Rhinolophus ferrumequinum: one gene and its partner. Each later gene encodes a partner of the first gene's protein in a complex. Links are inferred from orthologs where the notes say so. Each region holds a gene or a part of one and is shown in the gene's direction. Other genes may lie near its edges.

Region 1 (9,703 bases):
CCCCCGGAAAGCAAGAAGAGTCCCAAAAATATGTTGTTGACAGCTGGATGCAAAGATCAAACACTCAAGGTACCAGAATCCCCACTCCTCGTGCAGAAAGCCTGCTGGCTCCGGTGGGCCTCTGCCATGCTGCAGTCGGGGAACCATCTGGGTCTCTGAGGACAGTGGTCAGAGGGTCCAGGGAAGTCGTAGTTGTGACTTAAGCAGAAGACTTTAAAATGGAGGGGGCCAAGAGCAGGTGTGTCACAGAGCCTTCGGCACCCGTAGGTGCCTGTCTCAGTGGGGCGTAGTGGCAGCTTAGAGGACAGTTGGCATCCAAGGAATCCCCCCTTTTTCCTTCTGAGGCCATAGAAAAGGCCTCCCATGTCAGAACTTCTAGAGTCACCTTGTTTTCTGCAGGTTCCATTTTGATAAACCTTCTCCTGAAGCAGCCTCTGATCCCAGGCTCATCCCTAGGTCTGTGCCACCTCCTGAGCAGTTGTTCCGAGGCTCCTCCCAGCACCCTGTTGCAGCCACTGGGGTTGGGCAGGTAAGCATAAGACTCCTTCAAAAAACTTTCAGAAAGAAGCTTCCAGGAAGCAAGTCCCTTTCTGGCCTTGGCCAGCCTGGGAGGCCGGTGCGCTGGGCAGGGGAGCTAGAGAGTTTGGCAGGCAGGTTGTTTGGGGCCCTTGACCTTATCTCCGTCTCACACTGTGTGTTTTCTTTTGTGTTTGTTGCTAGTTCCTTGCCTGGGATTTCAAGCCTGAGGACCACAGTTTCTCAAGATGGGTCATGTCCCCTCTCGGCCCTTAGAGAAGCACAGAACCTGGCATTTACTGGACTGAATCTGATTGCCAGGAATGAAGGCTCATGTGACAGAGACCCAGCCGAGGGAGGCAGCAGGGCCTTCCCGCTCTGCCAGCTCCCTGGAGCTGTGCACCTCCTCCCCCTGGTACAGTTCTTTATCAGCTTACACTGCCAGGCTTTGCAGGATTTGGCAGTAGCCAAGAGAAGTGGGGAGCCTGGGGACACACCGACACATTCCTCCCGCAGGAGCTCTGGGGTAGATACCAGCCCCGAGGACTCACTTTGCAAGCTGGAAGGCTTCTCCGTGGCTTCGCTCAGCCTTCTTCAGCACCTGGTGTGCCACAGCGGAGCAGTCACCTGCCTGTTACTGTCACAAGCCGGAGCGGATTCCGCTGCTGGGGACGGAAACCAGAGCCTAGACTCCCATGGGGACGCGAGCCCTGCCCCAGGGGGGCTTGCTGGTGACCAAGGCCAGCATCCACTATTGAAGATGCTTCTTCGCCTCTTGGCTTTCTCTTCTGCAGCAACAAATCACCTTCACGCCAATGTCGTCAGCCAGTGCCTTAAGGTTTTGGTGAAATTAGCTGAAAACGCTTCCTATGATTGCTTGCCCAGGTATACTGCAGCATGGGAGTCATGATTGTGTGTGGGCCTTACCCGACCTCTTGAGGTTTATCCTGTGGCCCTTGTATTTTGCTCGTCTCTTGACTTACCTATACTGTTCAGTGCTAAGCCTTGGTTTAGGTTGTAAAGCTTTGTTCAGGGAGTTCTGAAGTGAGAACCAAGGAAGTGGTTTATTTGGCTTAATTCTGCCTCTGTACAGCTGGTAAGCAAAAGACACACAAGAGAAAAGAGAGCAGTTAGCCACAAGGGAAGAGTGTCCTGCCCCCGGGACAGACAAAGGCTATACCAAGAGGCCTTTGAACCTGGGACGTGGATCAGGTGAAGCCCACGTGTCACAGCCACGTTTAAGTTTGGTGGGGTTCTCAAAGGAGGGCGTGGGGAGGGTGTGCAGCGCACAAGGAATCTGCCTGTCATTGTGCCCACCTCTGGCAGGAGCCACCGGTTCCTTGCTCCACTTAAGGTTTCCTGGAAGTGGGAGGACAGTGAACCTAGCTCATGAACACTGTTGTCATAAATTCCAAACTTGAGGTTCCAGAGCCTCAAGACTGGAAGAAACTAAACACCATGCAGCCCATCGCCTCATCCACTAACCCCACCGCCCCCTCTGCTTCACCAAACAGGCCAGTTCCTGTCTCGAAATGACTCTGCTGACTGCCCGTAACTTTTCACCTCTGAGTTCAGATACCTGTTTCTAAAAATACTCCCAGATCCTGGTTTTCATCTGAATCTATTCTAGCTGGTCTGGTCTATGAGAGCCGGACCCGGTACCACAGAGAGTGCGGGCAGCACGGTAGGCGCAAACCATCGCCCGGGTGCCTGGCAGGGGCCCAGCTCAGTGGCTGGTTGCTTATTTCATATTTATTAAATGAATGAATACCAGGAACCACATTTTTACCACTTCTCTTGGTAGAAACACCATCATTCCATTCCTGTTCAACTTGTCCACAGGACATCAAAACACAGCCATTCAGTGGGTGTTCACCAAGGCCGGACACATGCCTTCCATTCACTAGCTCGTGCGACCCCTCGGAGCCCTGCATCTTCACACTAGCACAGAGCCTGGCTCACTGAGCACTGTGTTTGTTGAGTGAATAAGCCCTGTGTTGAGGTAGGAAAAGTTCTCAGATCCCAGAGGGAGCACGCTGGATGGGTTTCAAACCAAAGAGGCTCCTGAGCCATGGCCCCTCATCACGTCTGATACCACCTCCCACTTTGTGCTTCTCTTCGAAATTCCTTTACGCTTGCAAGCTGAACCCCACTACCGCACAGCTTCCTGTCCACCTTGGCGTGAAAGCTAGGGACGAGTGCCACCAAGGCTCTAAGCCAGCACGCAGTGCAGGCAGGCTGTGCCTCCACAGGCACGCTTGCCCCACCGGGCCTGAGGGCAGCCTCACCCCTGTCTTCCTACAGCATCTCTTGTAGACATAGGTCCAGGGTTGTCGCCCAGGTACTAGGATGGCAGGGGCTTTGGGGCAAATGGGTCTTATCCCCAACTTCAACCATGACTTACCTATTGAGCAGCATGACTTACCTATTGTGCGTTGGGGGGTGCTGCGAAAAAATTCATCTAAAAAGAAAGCTCTGATGCTATCAAAACAATTTGGAAACCTCTGTGTTGTATATGAAGATGGATTCTTCATGCAGATAGTTTCAAGGCCTTTAGTGGACTGGTTAGGAGCCACTTATAACAACCAGGTTGAATTCCAGTTTCCCACCAAGTCCCGCTCTCCTGGCGACGGAAAACATTCAGCTTCTTGTCTGCCATACAGGAATTTGCTCTAAAATGAGTTCACCCCCAATAGTGAGACCTTGCGTCCTAGTGGCATCCTGAGGAATATTCTTAACCCTCGATGCTGTGCGCCAAGACACTGCAGGTGCGTGAAGGTGAAGGGGGACATGCGCAGAGTTGTCCCTGCCCCCCCATGAGGCGGTGTAGGTCGGACAAACATCAGTGGTTGTCTTGGGACTTGGTAATAGCTGCCCCTGTGCCCTGAGACTTGGGGGAGAGTGTGCCCACTCCAAGTGGGTACCTTCTCATACTTGGTGGCAGAGAAGCTGCTGTTCTTATGTACAAGTGGAGAAAATGGGCTTCCTTTCTTGGCGAGTGGTCTCATAAGATCCAACCATACCGAGTCCACATTTATCACTTCTGGAGCCTGGCCAGTCCTTTGGTGGTGGGCACAGGACACTTCTCTCACCCAAGACCTGCCTCCCTCTTTGGGAGCAGAAGCAGGAAAGCTCAGGAGCAGTGTGGAGGCCAGACATCCCGGGTCCAAGGAGGCAACCCCCATTTACTGGGTGTTACTGTGCCAGGTGAGGGCCTATCTCTAAGCCACAGTGAAGGGTAGCACCCACTCATTCGCGTGAAAGTAGGTGGTCGTCGGCTGGCACTGGAATGCAGGTCTATCTGGACCACATCTCTGTACTGGCCTGAATTCCTGTTCCTCCAGTGAAAAGGGAGGGTGAATGTGGGACTGGGTGGGAATTGTCATGTCCCTCTGGGCCCCTGTGTTGTAGGTTCCAGTGTGTCTTCCCGGTGCTGCCGCCGTGCCTCAGCCCAGAGGCTCCCCTGCCCAGCGTGCTGCTGACAGTGGGGCTCCTGTCCCTGCTCGTGGACCACGAGAAGCTCGCGTCTCAGCTCTGCTCCCACTCAGGTAAAGTGGGCAGGGCGGGCGTCTGGACTCCTGCAGGGTGGAGGGAAGGGTGGCAGCAGGGACGGGGGCTTCTGCAGCTGGTGCTGGCTCTGGGTGAGAAGCCGGGCCCTGAGTGAGAGCTGGGCATTCTTTTCAGACGGCTGTCTCCTCCTGCTGTTATACACGTACATCACGTCAAGGCCTGACAAAGTGGCCTCGGACACACAGTGGCTTCAACTAGAGCAAGAGGTAAAAATGCCAGAGCCCCTTCTGTGGACTGTTCCCCACCCCCTCACCCTAAGAGCCATTTGCCCTCCTTCCTCTGGAGAGAGGGAGCTTTAATTCATTTTGGTAGCTTATCTAGCCACTAACAAGGTAAACTCATTTCGGGGGGCTCCACACCACACAGCTACAAAACAGTAGAGCCCAGGGTTTCTTGGCACTTGGCAGGGTTGCCTGATAACTGGTCCTACCCTGACCTTGGAGCCTGGTAGCTGCAGATGGGCCTGGAGGCACGTGGGTTGTTGGTGAGACACGGGTGTTGGTGCAGAGATTGGTCTGGGAAGGACCCCATTTGTGCAGACCAGCAGTTACTAAGGCCACTGGAGCTCTTGTAGGAGCCTGAGAAAGGCCTCGCTGCGATGTGTGAGGGTCTTGTTCTGCCACGGATGGAACAGTCTGCTCTTGTTCTAGGCCGTGTGGCTCCTGGCTAAGCTCGGTGTGCAGAGCCCCTCCTCCCCTATCACCGGCTCCAACTGCCAGTGCAACGTGGAGGTGAGTGCCCGAGGCAGGCAGGGGGCACAGCAGGGCAGCTCTGCTGGTGGCTGAGGCGAGGCGGTCCTGTGCAGGGCCCCGTGCCGCTTCTAGCCCTGGTGCCACCACTCAGAGCCCTCCTCACCTGGGGGACAGGGGAAGCTACTGCCCAGCCGAGCAAGTCATTAGGGTGCAGGAACTGCAAGCCTGACCTCAGTCTGCACCCCCAGGTGGTCAGAGCGCTCACAGCGATGCTACATAGACAGTGGCTGACAGTGCGGAGGGAAGGGGGGCCCCCCAGGACTGAGCAGCAGAGGCGGACAGTGCGGTGTCTGCGGGACACGGTCCTGCTGCTGCACGGCCTGTCCCAGAAGGACACGCTGTTCACGGTGCACTGCGTGGAGGCCCTGCACCAGTACGACCAGGTGATGCCAGGGGTCAGCGTGCTGATTCGAGGGCTCCCGGACGTGACAGACTGTGAAGGTGAGCTGGCAGGAGGATCCCTCCCTGCCCTGGCCCACCTGTGGGGCTTTCCTGAAGTTCATGAAGGAGTCAGACTTCCAGGCCTTGCCAGCAGGCCTCCACCCACCACGGTCTTTGCCAGCACTGGAGTCATTCTTATCTTCCTGCTCCGGTTCTTCTCTGAGCACATCAGGCTGCCTTTTGCTCGTATCTGTTGAGTTGGCCTGGCAGAGCCACGGTTTTTCCAGAAACATCCCTGTTTGAATTGCCTTTGTATCACTGCTTGCCATAGGTGAGGGAGCAAGGCCTGGGTATGGAAGGGACTGGTTAGTTCTCGTGGGCGTGGGGGGAAGAAAGGTGGGACCTCCCGCAGCTCCAGCACCTTCAGGCCTTCCCCACAGAACCCTCTTCTGTCTCGCTCAGAGGCTGCCCTGGATGACCTCTGTGCCACTGAGACCGACGTGGATGACCCAGAAATGGACTGTGGCTGAGGCTGTGAATTGAGCCACCTGGTGGCACCAGTACCATTGTTTTCCTCACCTCGTCAACTGATTAAAAGCAGTGACTGCTGTTTAAGATCTTGCCAGCTTTGTGTTCCCTGAGTCTGATCTGTGTTGGCTGAGTGGGAGGGATGGAGCAGAAACGCGACTCAGGGAAGGCTGGGCTCCTTCCTGTCCTAGCTGGAGCTGAGACTGGTCCCCATGGTAACGAATCTGCCTAGAGGAAGGAGCCCTGCCCTGCCTGTGGAATTGTCCTGAGTCATCGCTTTGGGCAGAGGCCATGGGAAGAAAAGTATGACAAGGAAGGAGGCAGCCCTCAGCCCAGGCCTAAACCAGGGAGGACTGGGGAAGTGGGGCTAAAGGGTGGGTGCAAAATGGCCATGGCAGAGGCTCCTGACAGGCTTGAGTCCTGGAGCTGGCCTTCCCCAACAGCATGGGCACCGCGGCCGGTGTCCTGACTGGCTGTCTTGCTGCTGAGGGCCCAGCCGCACTGTGCCAGCCAGCAGGCCCACAGCTGTACGTCTGAGGCGGCCTTTGGGGAGTCACGGGTGGAGGGGGGCTGGGGAGGGACGAGGCAGGCTGACAAGCAGGGCGGGACTTGCTCACTCCAGCCCGGTGGGCGGGCTCAGACTAAGTTTCACTTCCCGCCACTGCTGCCAGCAGCGAGAACCAGCCAGTGTGCACTCCAGTCATTGCTGCTTGCCTGCCTGCCGCTTGGTAAGTGAGGACCCCCAAGGGCCTGGGGCAGGGTGGGAAGGCCATGGGTTCCACCCGCCTCTCCCCAGACTCAGCAGGCACTGGGGGGGAACAAACCCCGGACAGTTGAATGTGCTGATCGTACTAAAGAAGCCATCCCACCCTCTGGCTTCCTGCCTTGAAAATGGGTCCTGGAGCTCGCGACAGTGCCTGCCTCCCCTCTCCTCCCCGCCCCTCCCCTCCTCTCCTTCAATCTCACCACTGGGGCACTCACACCCACTCCCCACCCTGTGCTCCTCCCCAGCTCAGCAGTAGACACCCACATGGCCTCGCAGGCCCTGCCCCAGGGGCCCATGCAGACCCTCATCTTCTTGGACCTGGAGGCCACTGGACTTCCCTTCTCCCAGCCCAAGATCACGGAGCTGTGCCTGCTGGCTGTCCACAGATGTGCCCTGGAGAGCCCTCCCAGCCCTCAGGGGCCTCCTCCCATGGTGCCCCCACCACCCCGCGTGGTGGACAAGCTCTCCCTCTGTGTGGCCCCAGGGAAGGCCTGTAGCCCCGCAGCCAGCGAGATCACAGGCCTGAGCACAGCTGTGCTGGCAGCGCACCGGCGTCAACACTTCAATGCAGACCTGGTCAACCTGCTCCGCGCCTTCCTGCAGCGCCAGCCACAGCCCTGGTGCCTCGTGGCACACAACGGTGACCGCTACGACTTCCCCCTGCTGCAGGCGGAGTTGGCCATGCTGGGCCTCTCCAGGGCTCTGGACGACGTCTTCTGTGTGGACAGCATCGCCGCCCTGAAGGCCGTAGAGCAGACTGGCAGCACCCCCGAGCATGGCCCGAGGAGGAGCTACAGCCTGGGCAGCATCTACACACGCCTGTACGGGCAGGTCCCACTGGACTCGCACACGGCCGAGGGCGACGTCCTAGCCCTGCTCAGCATCTGTCAGTGGAGGCCGCGCGCCCTGCTGCAGTGGGTGGACGCTCACGCCAGGCCCTTCAGCACCGTCAAGCCAATGTACGGGGTCACAGCCTTTACTGGAACCCACTCAAGGCCACCTGCTGCCACAGCCACTACCCTTCTGGCCAGAGGCGGAGACTCCATTCCCAACCTCGGGGGGAGCAGGAGGCCCAAGGTCCTACCTACAGCGAAGGGCCCTGAAGCCGCACCCAGGGAGGGCCTGCTGGCCCCACTGGGCCTGCTGGCCTTCCTCAGCGTGGCAATAGCCACCCTGTACGGGCTGTCCCTGGCCACACCTGGGCAATAGGACGAGAAAGAACGTCTGATGAATAAAGACCCCGACAGCACTGTGGTCCCTCGCCTCTACCTTCCTGGGCAGCTTTGCAGCCGCCTGCACCTCTGCCTGCTCTCGGGCCATGGAGGGGGCACCGAGGGCGGTGCGGTCTTTGTCCTTCACCCTCCCCAGCAGGATGGTCAGACGTCTGAGCCCAACACAAGCAGGGAAAACAGGGAAATCCAAGTGCTGGATGGAAATGGTACCTGGCCTCCTACCCAATGCCTGCAGCCAAGGCTCTGAAGAAAGGGGGCAGCAGTTCCAAATGTCCGCGTTTATTATAAACAAGGGTGCAGACCCCGACTCTCAGAAACATATCAACAGGCACAAAGCTAAGACAGATGGTGAGACAGAAACAGGGACAGGGAACCCCGAGGTATTCATGTCCGGGCCCACAGCCACCCAAGGCCCCCTCCACTTTGGTCCCTTTGCTCCAGACAGTCCACTGGCCCAGGTGTCCCCACGGCCAGGACAAACTGTGGCCGGGGGTACAGGACCTGGATATTCTGTGGGGCTGGTGTGGGGAAAGCAGGGGCTACAGAGGTCGGGGTCCCTCTCTGCCGGGACCCAGGGGTTTCAGCCTCATAGAAACGATCACATTTTGAAACAGAAAACAGGCCAAATGTTTGGCTAAAAGTAAAACAAAAACACGGCAGGAAGGACACCTGAGTGTGTAGGTAGGTGGACAGAGGCTACCCTGCCCACCGCTGGCGGGGGCCGGGGCCAGCCAGGGTACCCAGAACCGTGGGTGGAAGTGGTCCTCCAGGTGGTCCCTGGGAAGTTGCAGGAACAGTCCAGGCAGACAGCTGTCAGGGTGGGTGGGGCTCTGCCTTAGGTGTTTGGATATCAAAAGGCTGCCCACCCTCCACTGGCCATGGCACAGGCTCCAGGGGCTATGGGATCAAAACCCAACTTAGACAGGTCCCAAACCTCACCCACTTGCCTGAATCACAGCTCTGGTTCTTCGAAGGGAAGCACACAGCCTGGGGACAAGCTGTGGCCTCGAGCAGCGGCCAGCCATCCCGCTGAAACCAGAACATGCGTGTATCTTGCCCAGAAAAAAGCAGTGCGATCCTAATGTGACAAGCCCCACCTGGTCTCCCTGGGGTGGTCTGGAAAAGAACTCCCACCTCATGCTTTGAATTTGCTTGAGATTTCAAGGAAGCATAATTTCAAGTGAGGAAGAGAAAAAGGTATGGTCCCAGTAACTGGTACGGACTGTCCCACCTGTCAGCACCACCAGAAGCCTTATGTACAAACAGGACACGCACACATCCTGCACGGGAGAAAAAGACCATGCCCGCATCCCCAATCACACGCACATACACACAGAGTATCAAGTGGCAGCCAGAGATGCAGGGCCATTCTCAGTGGGCGGCCTTCGGGGGGTCCATATAGGCTGGGTTGTAAGGAGGCTGGCTGGCAGAGTAGGGCATGGCTGCACCTCCTGAAAATAGAGAGGACACTGGTTGGCTGTGGGTACAGCAGGGTCTTTGGGGTTAGGCAGAGTCAGAGTTGGCAGTGTACTCACCAGACAATGTCTCGTGGTAGGCAGGCGGGCCCATGGGCTGGGCCGGGTAGGGTGGTGGGTACTGTGTCGGGTAGGGTCCTGCCGCCAGCCCTGGCTGGGGGGGCATGGGGTGGTAGCCCTGGTACGACGGCCCAGGGTAGCTGGGTGGCACACTTGGAGGCTGAGGGTAAGGGGCGTGCACCACGGTGGTGGACGTGGTGGTGGTCACGACCGCTGGAAAGAGAATCCCCGTCAGGACCCTCAGGCTTGCCCTTCCCCACAGTTTAGCCGAATCAGGGTCCCGGTCAGCTCCCCTTGCCCCCCTGGGGTCTGTGCACAAGGGCCCATGGGGCATGCTTACGGCGTGGCCGGCGGCACATCTTGTACAAACAGCAGCAGGAGCAGGTGAAGCAGACGATGATGGTGACAACAAACAGCACAAAG
Region 2 (10,159 bases), on another chromosome or scaffold:
CCCCATAGGCTCTTTCTCAGAGGTCTTTTCCTCTGGCCTGTATTAAACTGTCTTAGGGAGATACTGGACCTGTCTTCCAGATGATTTGCTCAACCAGCTTTTATTCCTTCAGTATTTCCCCTGTCTTCCTTACTTCACCTCATTCCAGAGAAAAAGTGTTTCTTGCTCTTACTAACTCCAATTTTAATTACAGAAAGTTCAGGGGGGTCTTTCCAGACCACTCTCAGCTGGATAGCTCCTGGAAAATGACTAGATGGAAAACTAAGCATGAAGACCAGAGAGAAAACTTTCCAAACTGTGAGGCATGCCAGTCAAAGGACAAAGGCAAGGTCATCTAGCAGGAGGTAAAACACCCCAAAGAACAAGAATCAGATTAAACTCTCATTTGTGGGGTTAGAGGTGGAAGGTTAAAGTCCACGGTACAAGTGGATGGGCTGTGACTAGACAGGGAAAGGAAGAAAGATTACAGGCGAGGATACATTAACGAGAAGAAGCAAAGACATTTCCTGCTCATAGAATGCCACCTGCTCCTCCATACTTCCTAGCTCCCTTAGAGTTACAAGGCCATGTGACGAGTTCTGGTCAATGGGTTGAAAGGAGCAGTGATACGCATCTCCTCCAGGCCAAACCAATCATTTAAGAGATACCACATGACTCTCCAGCTCTCTCCTGTTGTGGTGTGCAGAGGTTTTGTAGGGATGGCAGAGCCACATGTTAGAAAGAACTAGGTTCTCACATTGACTGCAGGTGGGGAACTAACTGTAGTGGTACTGGCCGTTCAGCAGACTTCGGGTGAGTAAGTTTGGTTTTGTTCAGTGCAATGGACTGAATGTTTATGTACCCCCCAAATTCATACGTTGAAATCCTTTAGGAGGTAGGACCTTTGGGAGGTGATTGGGTCAACAGGGTGAAGCTCTCATGAATGGCGTTGGTATCCTGATAAAAAAGAACTCAGAGAAATCCCTTTCCATTTCCACCACGTGAGGTTACAGTGAGAGGACTGCTGTCAGTGAGGAAGGGGATTCTCATCAGGCACCGAATCTGTCAGCAGCATGATCTTGGACTTCTCAGTCTCCAGAACCACGAGAGAGAAATCAATGTTTGTTGTTTATGTGGACAAAAAAGGGGTTCTTTGGAGAGTAACCTCACAGGGTGATCTGATCCTAAATTCCTAACTGGGCAGGTTATGGTGGGTAGTCAGGCCCCAGGCCTACAACTTCTTTAGTGAAAGGTTTTAAGCCAGCCCTGTCCATTCTTCTTGTGCCTTTAGGTTAACACACCTTTGAAGTGCCAGAAGTGATACCCCTTGAAGGAGGTATTAATCCTCAAGAGAGCACATGATCTTGTTAGCTATCCTGTAATCCAACCCCTGTCTTGCTTTCTCCCACCTCCATGTACATTCCCTCCTTAATTTCAAATGCATAAAAGAAGCTGTAAAACTGTTATTCTCTGGAGCATATGAGATCTTGTTTCCTCACAATTGTCATCCGTTTGGGGTCAAACTCTTATAAAAATTCTCTACAGGTTTGGGCATTCTTACGTGGACAATTTATAAGCTACCTAGTGTGCGTTTTGTTGTTGTTGTTGTTGTTATAGCAACCAAAATGGACTAAGACATCAAGCCATTGAGACTTGGGAATATTTTTTTTTTTTTGTCTGCAGCACAACCTAGCCTATCCTAACTAATAGAAAAGGCACTACAATCATAGTATTATATAAATTGCATATTAGGTGACACTCAACCCCAATCTGGGGAGGCTGAAAGGAGGAAGGAGAAATTTGCTGAACCAGTCTAGTATCATAATCATCATCAGTGAAGACAAAAGATACTGGGCCCACGTCAAAGACACCCAGCAGGGGTCCTGGAGAGTCAAACCACATGAAAGCAAGAGGGAGATTAATGCTAAATCCCTGCTCTCAGCATTGAGCCTCTTCAGCCACTTTCCCTTGAGAGTTTTAGCCTGAAAGATTACACCAGAGTCACGGCAAAGGGAGAAACTGTTATAGGCAAAGAGCCCATGTTTTTGCTGAAGACTTTATTATACCTAAACTTAGAAAGTAGAAACAAGAGGAGGGTTGTAAGAAAATATAAACATAAATGGGATTGAAGAGTTTAAGGAGAAAAGATCAACGGTATCAGTGTCATTGTTCATAGACAAGAAAACATAAGGGTGTCAAAAGAAGGCAGTATCACTGAATAGGAAGAAAAAAGATGACTGATGTAATTTGGGCTGGAATGATGTGATTTTTAAGGTCTCACTGGGCCAGGGAAGTCTAAAATCTCTGAGGACATCACAGTCTATGGTAGTTAAACATTAAGCTCTGGAGCAAAAGTCAGATGGATTCACAGTCAGGCTCTGCCACTTAACTAGTTTTGTGGCCTTGGGTAAGTTATTTAACCTTTCTGTGCCTCGGTTTCCCATTCTAAAATAGGAATTAGAATAGTGTCCACCTCATATGGTTGTTGCACCAAACTATGCGAGGAGTCTCTCAGGACTGCCTTCCCCAGTCAGCAAATAATGTGGGTTTCCCCAAAAACTCCCTCTCGGGCCTTCCATCAGGGATCAGGGCCTCACTAAGAAGATTGAGGAGGTAGTTTCCATATGTATAGTCTAGAGCCAGAAGCAGACAGATGAGCTGGGTATCTTTTTTGTGAAACAGGCAATTACCTTCACCAAATGATCCTGCTGTTTGATTTGTAGTTTGACTCTGGAGTCAAAGGTGAGAGGGTTCATACTTCATTCTTGATTATGGTCCATGAGGATTCCCTGGGGGCTCATTTCCAATTACTGTTATTAATGTTCTTTCTTTGCCCTGCATCCCAAGATGTCTTTCTGTTTCTCACACGTGGGCATAATGCATTAGTTGCTCTGATTCCTTAAATCATTAATAAGAGGACAGTCATGCCCTGAATCAATTCTATTCTTTGTATAGTATTAGAGCTAGCTGTCTCTAATTATGGTCTCAGATTATGATTTCTTCGCGCGCCATAGGTATCCTCCCCATGGAAGTAAGACCTAGGAATAAAGCTTTGTGCATAGTTCAGCAGCACACACGTGGTTTAGAGCTCAGGCTCACGTTGACCGTGCACGGACGGGCTTTATATACTGGTTCTACCTTTTCCAGCTGTCTGAACTTGGGCAAGTTACTGACCCTGAATGAGCCTCAGTTTCCCCACCTAAAAATGTGGATAACAGTATTTACCACATTAAGTTGATATATGGATTAAACAAGTTACTGTAAGTAAAGCACTTTGTACGTGGCACAGGACAATCTTTCAATAAACATATTATTATTCATTTCTGCATAACAAATGAATGGTAATTACTGCTTTTAAAATAATTTTTATACCCACAGATCACTTTTATGCAGATAATTCCCATAGGTCTCTCCTTAGGCCTAGCATTTCTTCTGAACCCCAGAGAAGTATCTTCAATTGATTACTGCATATTTTCTCTTTTGTATCACCCTCCATCAGATTCAACATTACACCATACTCCTCTTTCTCTAGCTGGCTCCCTCTGGTCTTTCCTATTTCTGTTAATATCGTTAATTGTCAGTTTCTTAGGTATAAAATTTTATCACCCATAGCTATAAAAAAAAAAACCCAGCTGACATTTATTATTTACTACGTGCCTGACACTGTGTTAAATTTTCATTGAATTATTTTATATAATCCTCACAATAATCTTATGATTTGGTGACTGTTAGTACTCCCATTTAGCAAACATAGAAACTGAGGCTTTGTGATGTTGAGTAACTTGTCCAAGGTCACATAACTAATAAGTGACTGAGCCAAGAATCAACGCCCATTTTCTGAAAACAGAGCCATGCTCTTTTAAGCACTACCGCTGTTATGATACAGTTCCTCTCCATCCCTTTTTGATGATATCTAATCACCTCCCAAATCTTGTCAGTTTATCCTGGGAATTCTATGATAAACATTCCTTTGACCACTTTAATTCAGAGGAGGTGGTATCTGTCCTCATACCTTGATCCGCCTAATGGGTCTCTGCTTCCAGCCTCTCCCTGTCCCATCTATCCTTCAGATTATAATGAAATTCTTCACCGTCTAAAACAAAGCTCTCCCCATGTACCACTGTAATCTTGAACAAATTGGGCCATCTCTTTTGGTCTGTTAGTATCTCTGTAAAGTGAGTGAATTAGATGGCTTCAATAAATGAGTTCAAAATGTTTCTCATGTCACTGTCCTACGCCTCAAACTTCAATGACTTTCCATTAACTATAGTTGAAAGTCTCAACTTTATGGACTAGCATTTAAAGCTTGTCACTAATCTGGTGGTCTTTTCCCCACTGGTCCAGAGCATTCTTTTAGGAGTCTAATCAGTTTCTCATTTTCTACTTTTCCCTGCTTGCTTTCCATCCTTTGCTTTTGCTATTTTCCTGATCCCCTGATACCTACAGACTTATCTATTTACCTCTTCTTTTTGTGTATCCAAATGCTACCTCCTCTATAAAATCTTCCCCCTACTTTATTCAGGCATCCCAGTGACCACTCTTCCTTGCTCTACAATAATTGATATCTTAGCACAGTTCACTAAACATTACTCCTATTATTATTTTTTTGGGGTGAATACATTTGATTAGCAGTTTTGTTTGTTTGTTTTTAGCAAGGGGTGGGTGGAAGGCCAGTGATTTGATGTTTTAGGTAGTGATATCCCATTCTTAGAGGTTTCAAGCAGAGGCAGAAATCCCTTGCAAGGATTTCTGGAGAGGGGATTGGTCCATATGCCCATTAAAATTACTTTTAGTACTAAATTCTTATTGTTCTCTGATTTGTTTTGCAGAAACATTTACCTTTGGAAGCCTGGAGGGCTGTGTGTAGGGTTGGGAAAGGAAGGTTAGGGTGGAGTCATGGAATTAGGATGGCTTCCAAGAGAGATGAGACTGTCCTGTTTTCTACTGCCCAACCCACTTCTCTCGCATCTGTCTGGGCAAGACCTTACTTCCCTACCTAATAAGGCTTAAATCATCCTGGCTCAAGGTCTTGAAGACTATTAATCAATAGCATTGAAATCATCAAACTGTTAGGCTCCATCCCAGACCTACTGAATCAGAATCTGTATTTTATGTGACTTGTTTGTACATAGAAGTTTTAAAACCACTGTACAGGGGGCCTCAACCACTAAAAAGGAGCTTTGTAGATAATTCTATTGAACTGATATTAACAAACTCCGAGAGAGAGAGAGAGAGAGAGAGAGAGAGAGAGAGAGAGAGAGAGAGAGAGAGAGAGAGAGAAAGGAGGAAAGAAAGAAGACAAAGAAGGGAGGGAGGGAGAGTGGGAGGAAGGAAGGAAAGAAAGAACTCTTAGTTTTACATTTGACATTTAAATCTATGATCCATTTTGAGTAAATTTTTGTTTAAAGTGGGAGGTTAGGCAGAGGTTCTTTTTTTTCTCTTTTTCAGTAGATGTTCAATTGCTCAGCACCATTTATCGAAAAGGCTCCTGATTCTACTTTGTACCTTACCCCCCCCTCATTCCTCCTACAGCAGTCAGAATGATTAAAAGAAAAGTGTATCAGATTATGTCATGCCTTGTTCAAAACTCTGCAATGGCTTCCCATCGCAGCATAATCTGGCCCTCCTCCCCAGTGGCATTTTCTACCAATGGATCCCCACTATAATGCGCTCAGATAACCACTGGACTTCCTCCCTCACTTCACGCATGTCTATTCTAGTACTGTCACCTCCTCGCAGAGATTTCTTCAACCAACTTTTTAAAACAGTTTACTCTCTCAATCTTTCTCCCTGCCCTGCTTTTCTTAACAGCACTTACATAATGCCATATACATTTGTTTATAGTTTGCCCCCATTCCCAACCCCACCAGAAGCTCCAAGAGAGTTTACTGCTATACCCTCAGGCCCTAGAATAGTGCCTGGCACACAGTAAGTACTCAGTATTTATTGCTTGACAGGTTGGAATGAATACATAAATGTAAAGCAAGAGAGACTTGTCTACCTCTAGATCGGGCGCTCGTTCAGACTTCATGCAACGTGTGAGCGCCACCTCCCGGGAAGCCAATTTGTTCCAGAACGAAGGTTAGTCACAGAATCAAAAAAAAAAAAAAAAAAAAAAAAGATGGTTGCAGCCCGCCGGAAGAGAAAAAAAAGCACTAACGGAAGTTCAACATCTAAAATGACACCCGATTCACAGGAGGAAGCGGGGCGAATGGGTGTTCTGCAACTCCGCCGCCGGTCTGGGCAGAAGGGTTCCGCGCGTGCGAGTGCCAGGAACCACGTGGGACCAGGGAGTGTTTCCGGTGCCGGCGACAGAGCTACTACTGCAGTAGCTCAAGCAGCTGGAGGGGTGAGAAGATTTCGGGGTCCTACGAGGAAAGGGGAGAGCAGTGGGGTCAGAGGAGCGGGGAGGTGAAGGGATCGTATGAGTTCCTATCTGAGAGGTGGCGAAGGGGATTGAAAGGGAGGGAAGGACCGGGGAGCGCCACTCGACAGGTACAAACTTGTCAGCGCACGTCTCACGCCACGTGGACTCGCCTTTGTCCGTGGCTGCCTTTCCCATCTGGCCGCGACGACAGGGGTCGTGCCTTATTTGTATATGTCAAGTGCAGTGCTGGGTACGGAGTTGGCGCTCCGTATGGGCTTGCAGAATGAATGACAGCTGTGTGTCAGGGTGGCTGTGGAGGGACATTTATAGGGGCTGTTTCTGGCTCTTTAGCCCCATTTTCTCCTGGTGAATCCATGCTTGTCTCGAGCTTCCAGCGGGAGTTCTCCACTAGTCCTAGTCTCTTTTTCTTGGAGGGTGATTACCAAAGATATTTTCTTTGCTCTTGCTGACTGCTAGGTGCTAGGGACGGACACATCCCTGTATAATGGCAGCAGACCAGTGGGGAAACAGACACACAAACGTAAAATTCAAATATATTGTGAAGGTGCTGAAATAAGTTAATTAAAGTACAGGAAGATAGAGCCAGGGGGTAGTGCTGCTACCCACATTAGGCATTGTCTTTCAAGGTAAGGGGTCTCCTGCTTTCTCATCTTGTGGTGGCAGAGCAGGTCTTTAGCTTAGTCATCTCTGTAAAAAGAACGATCTGCAATAGATGTTTTCTAGGCTTCCAGCGCAATGTCCCATATCAGATATTACTAATGGCTCTAATTCTCCCACAATCCACAGTTTATTGGTTAGAGTATTCATTACATCTTACGATGTAGCATAAATTGCATAGGGCTGGGAAATCTGGATTTTGGCCCTCATTCTGGTGCTCTAGATCTGTTTCCTCATTTGTAAAATGATGGGGATTGTAATAAAATAATCTGTAAAATTGCTTCCACTCCTAATATCATGATATGTATGGCAGTAGGTCAAACCACATTTCATACTGCCTTGTACCAGATGTCACTTTCACATTATCTGTGTAGTTTTCCTCATCTGGATAATTGAGAAAGATAGCGTCTTTTTTTGTTTTTGTTTTTTTTTAAGTCCCTTACCTTAGTTCTTTCACAGTGTTGGGTATACGGTAGATGCTTGATAGAAGCTTATTAAATCAAATGGGGTAGAAATTATAACCCCTGCTTTTGGACTCCTCTTCACTCTGGAATATTAGTTCATACATGAGGAGACTGGGGAGGAATTGGGTTTTTACTGGAGAGACTTGGAGCTGACATGACAGATTTAAACCGGATTTATGGGGGTAATCTGCTTGAGAAAGATAATGACGTAGGCAGGATGTTCAGCGCTGTTTCATCCCGCCACCTGTCTATCTCCAGGACCATGGCCAACACTGAGCGCACATTCATTGCCATCAAGCCCGATGGGGTCCAGCGCCAGCTCGTGGGAGAGATCATCAAGCGTTTTGAACAGAAGGGATTCCGCCTTGTTGCTATGAAATTCATGCAGGTTAGTGGCCTTCATTCTTACTACTCGTTTTTTCTATTTTTTCGTAGTATAAGGGGACGTTGTAGGTTAGCCTCTCTGTTTCTCCCCTACCATCCTTTTTAGACTTTTCCATGTAGGGTGAACACAAATGCCTTGAAACCTGGAAACTCCTTGGTGGCCTAGTATCATGGCTGAGTCTTGGAACAAACCAAGTTATTTGGGACTTTAGGAAATAGCTTCCCGCTTCCTTTAGCAGAGTTCCACATTTACTGCAGTGCTGTGATTTCTGACTCAAAGCTCTGAGCATGTTTGAGCTCTGCTCTTGAGCTCCCTGAGCAGATAACTTTAGAAAACTCCCTCCCCCCCCCACTTTGAGGAAAGTTGTTTTCACCACGGAAATCTTTCCATCATCATTTACTACCCCCTTAGTGTCTAGCATGTATTTGGCACTATCAGGGCGTGTGAGGGGAAACTGGTTTTGCTCTGGGGAGGCCCACCTGAAATGGGAGAGAGTAGACACTCTTGAAAGACACCTACAAAGCAATATTTCAAAAAGTGCAAAGGATTGATTGGCCAAGAACTCTTCTTCAAACAAACCTGGGAAATGAGAATTCAAATTCTCAAAGCAAATACATTAGGGGACCATCTTTTTTCTTATTAAGAGTCAACTTTGGGGGCCGGCCCGGTGGCTCAGGCGGCTGGAGCTCCATGCTCCTAACTCCGAAGGCTGCCGGTTCGATTCCCACATGGGCCAGTGGGCTCTCAACCACAAGGTTGCTGGTTCAACTCCTCGAGTCCCGTAAGGGATGGTGGGCTCCGCCCCCTGCAACTGAGATTGAACACCGCACCTTGAGCTGAGCTGCCGCTGAGCTCCTGGATGGCTCAGTTGGTTGGAGCGTGTCCTCTCAACCACAAGGTTGCTGGTTCGACTCCCCCAAGGGATGGTGGGCTGTGCCCCCTGTAACTAGAAACGGCAACTGGACCTGGAGCTGAGCTGCACCCTCCACAACTAAGACTGAAAGGACAACAACTTGACTTGGAAAAAAGGCCTGGAAGTACACACTGTTCTGCAATAAAGTCCTGTTCCCCTTCCCCAATAAAATCTTTAAAAAAAAACAAAAAAAAAGAGTCAACTTTGGACTCTCCTAGTGGATCTTAAATTTAGTTTGATTTACAATTTAGTTCCTATGTGATGCAGTTTAGAAAAACTGCTTTAATATTAAAGGGAGTAGACTGATGATAATGCTGAGTAGAGAGCCTGTTAGAATGATTAGAGCCACGTGTTTTCTGAAGAATGAGTTAGAATCTGTCACGTTGCTTGGTGGTATGTGGGAACAAATTCAGTTTGCTAGAGAGCAAACCATCTGCTTAGTGATTGCAACTCAACTTCCAAAGCAATGTTTTCCAGAGAGTCTACATATTATGTTAGGTTGGAAGGTAAGGTGAAATGAAAGTATTGTTGACGGGGCATTTACCATGTGCTGGGAACATGTGTTTTCTCATCTAGCCCTTATGACAACCCTGAGAGGTGCTTATTCCTATTCTCATGGTTGTTAGTGATGAGGAATCTGAGGCTTGGAGATGTCAAGTCATGTGCCTGAGAACACACAGTGATGCAACAGGGATTTTAATTCAGGTCTCCCTGACTCCTACATGCTTCCATTTTCTCCTTTCCACTGAGTTTCCTGACAAGAATATGGGCTTGGTGAAAAGTGGGAGGAGGGGTAGCTCCTACAAAGTTATTTGAATCTGATGTGGAGGAGAGAGGCAAGGGAAAACTTGAGGTCACCCTCCCCTCAAAAAAAAAAAAAAAAAAGCGTGGAATCTGTTTTGCCGACTCAAGATAATCAGAGCCAATTAATAGAAATAAAAGAGTGTTTTGGTAAGGGAAGATCAAGTCAGTGTGTGTTAGCAGACTACCGCTATTAGTCTTCCATTGGGATTGAAAGGGCCAGTGAGCGTGAATTGCTAACATGGAGTGATCATATGGCTGTGTAATTTTACTTTGGCAAGTGACCATCAGTGAGGGCTGAATGTTAAGATGTTCCAGATGTGCTTTTCGACAGCAAATCTCCACATTTTTATATATCACTGCAGTGTTCACTATATCTCATACAGTGTAGTACTATGGACCTGAAAAAACTAAGGGACATTGGTAGACCCTTAAAAAGCATACATGTAGTGGCAGAGAGAGAATACAGATGAGAGGAGTTAGAATTGCTAAGCAGATGGCTGGCTCTCTGGCAAACTTGATTTGTTCCCACATACTAGCCATGCAGTGTGAGACATTATAATTAATTCTTC

Evidence for each region.
Region 2: TREX1 (region 1) and nucleoside diphosphate kinase A share a complex: the UniProt entries of both Homo sapiens proteins name them as parts of the SET complex. The link is inferred for Rhinolophus ferrumequinum from reciprocal best matches to the Homo sapiens genes TREX1 and NME1.

The regions. Positions count from the first base shown.
Region 1 is NC_046300.1:7,625,665-7,635,367, reverse strand, and holds TREX1 (three-prime repair exonuclease 1), read left to right. Parts: upstream 1-6,335; 5' UTR 6,336-6,475; intron 6,476-6,758; 5' UTR 6,759-6,777; coding exon 6,778-7,722; 3' UTR 7,723-7,756; downstream 7,757-9,703. Other genes in the region: ATRIP (ATR-interacting protein), read left to right, coding at 1-69, 400-529, 721-1,401, 3,928-4,064, 4,201-4,292, 4,737-4,817, 5,027-5,279, 5,682-5,749; SHISA5 (protein shisa-5), read right to left, coding at 9,117-9,196, 9,281-9,493, 9,621-9,703. UniProt on the Homo sapiens protein: Major cellular 3'-to-5' DNA exonuclease which digests single-stranded DNA (ssDNA) and double-stranded DNA (dsDNA) with mismatched 3' termini. Prevents cell-intrinsic initiation of autoimmunity.
Region 2 is NC_046304.1:32,587,542-32,597,700, reverse strand, and holds the start of nucleoside diphosphate kinase A, read left to right. Parts: upstream 1-6,301; 5' UTR 6,302-6,328; intron 6,329-7,746; 5' UTR 7,747-7,750; coding exon 7,751-7,876; intron 7,877-10,159. UniProt on the Homo sapiens protein: Major role in the synthesis of nucleoside triphosphates other than ATP. The ATP gamma phosphate is transferred to the NDP beta phosphate via a ping-pong mechanism, using a phosphorylated active-site intermediate.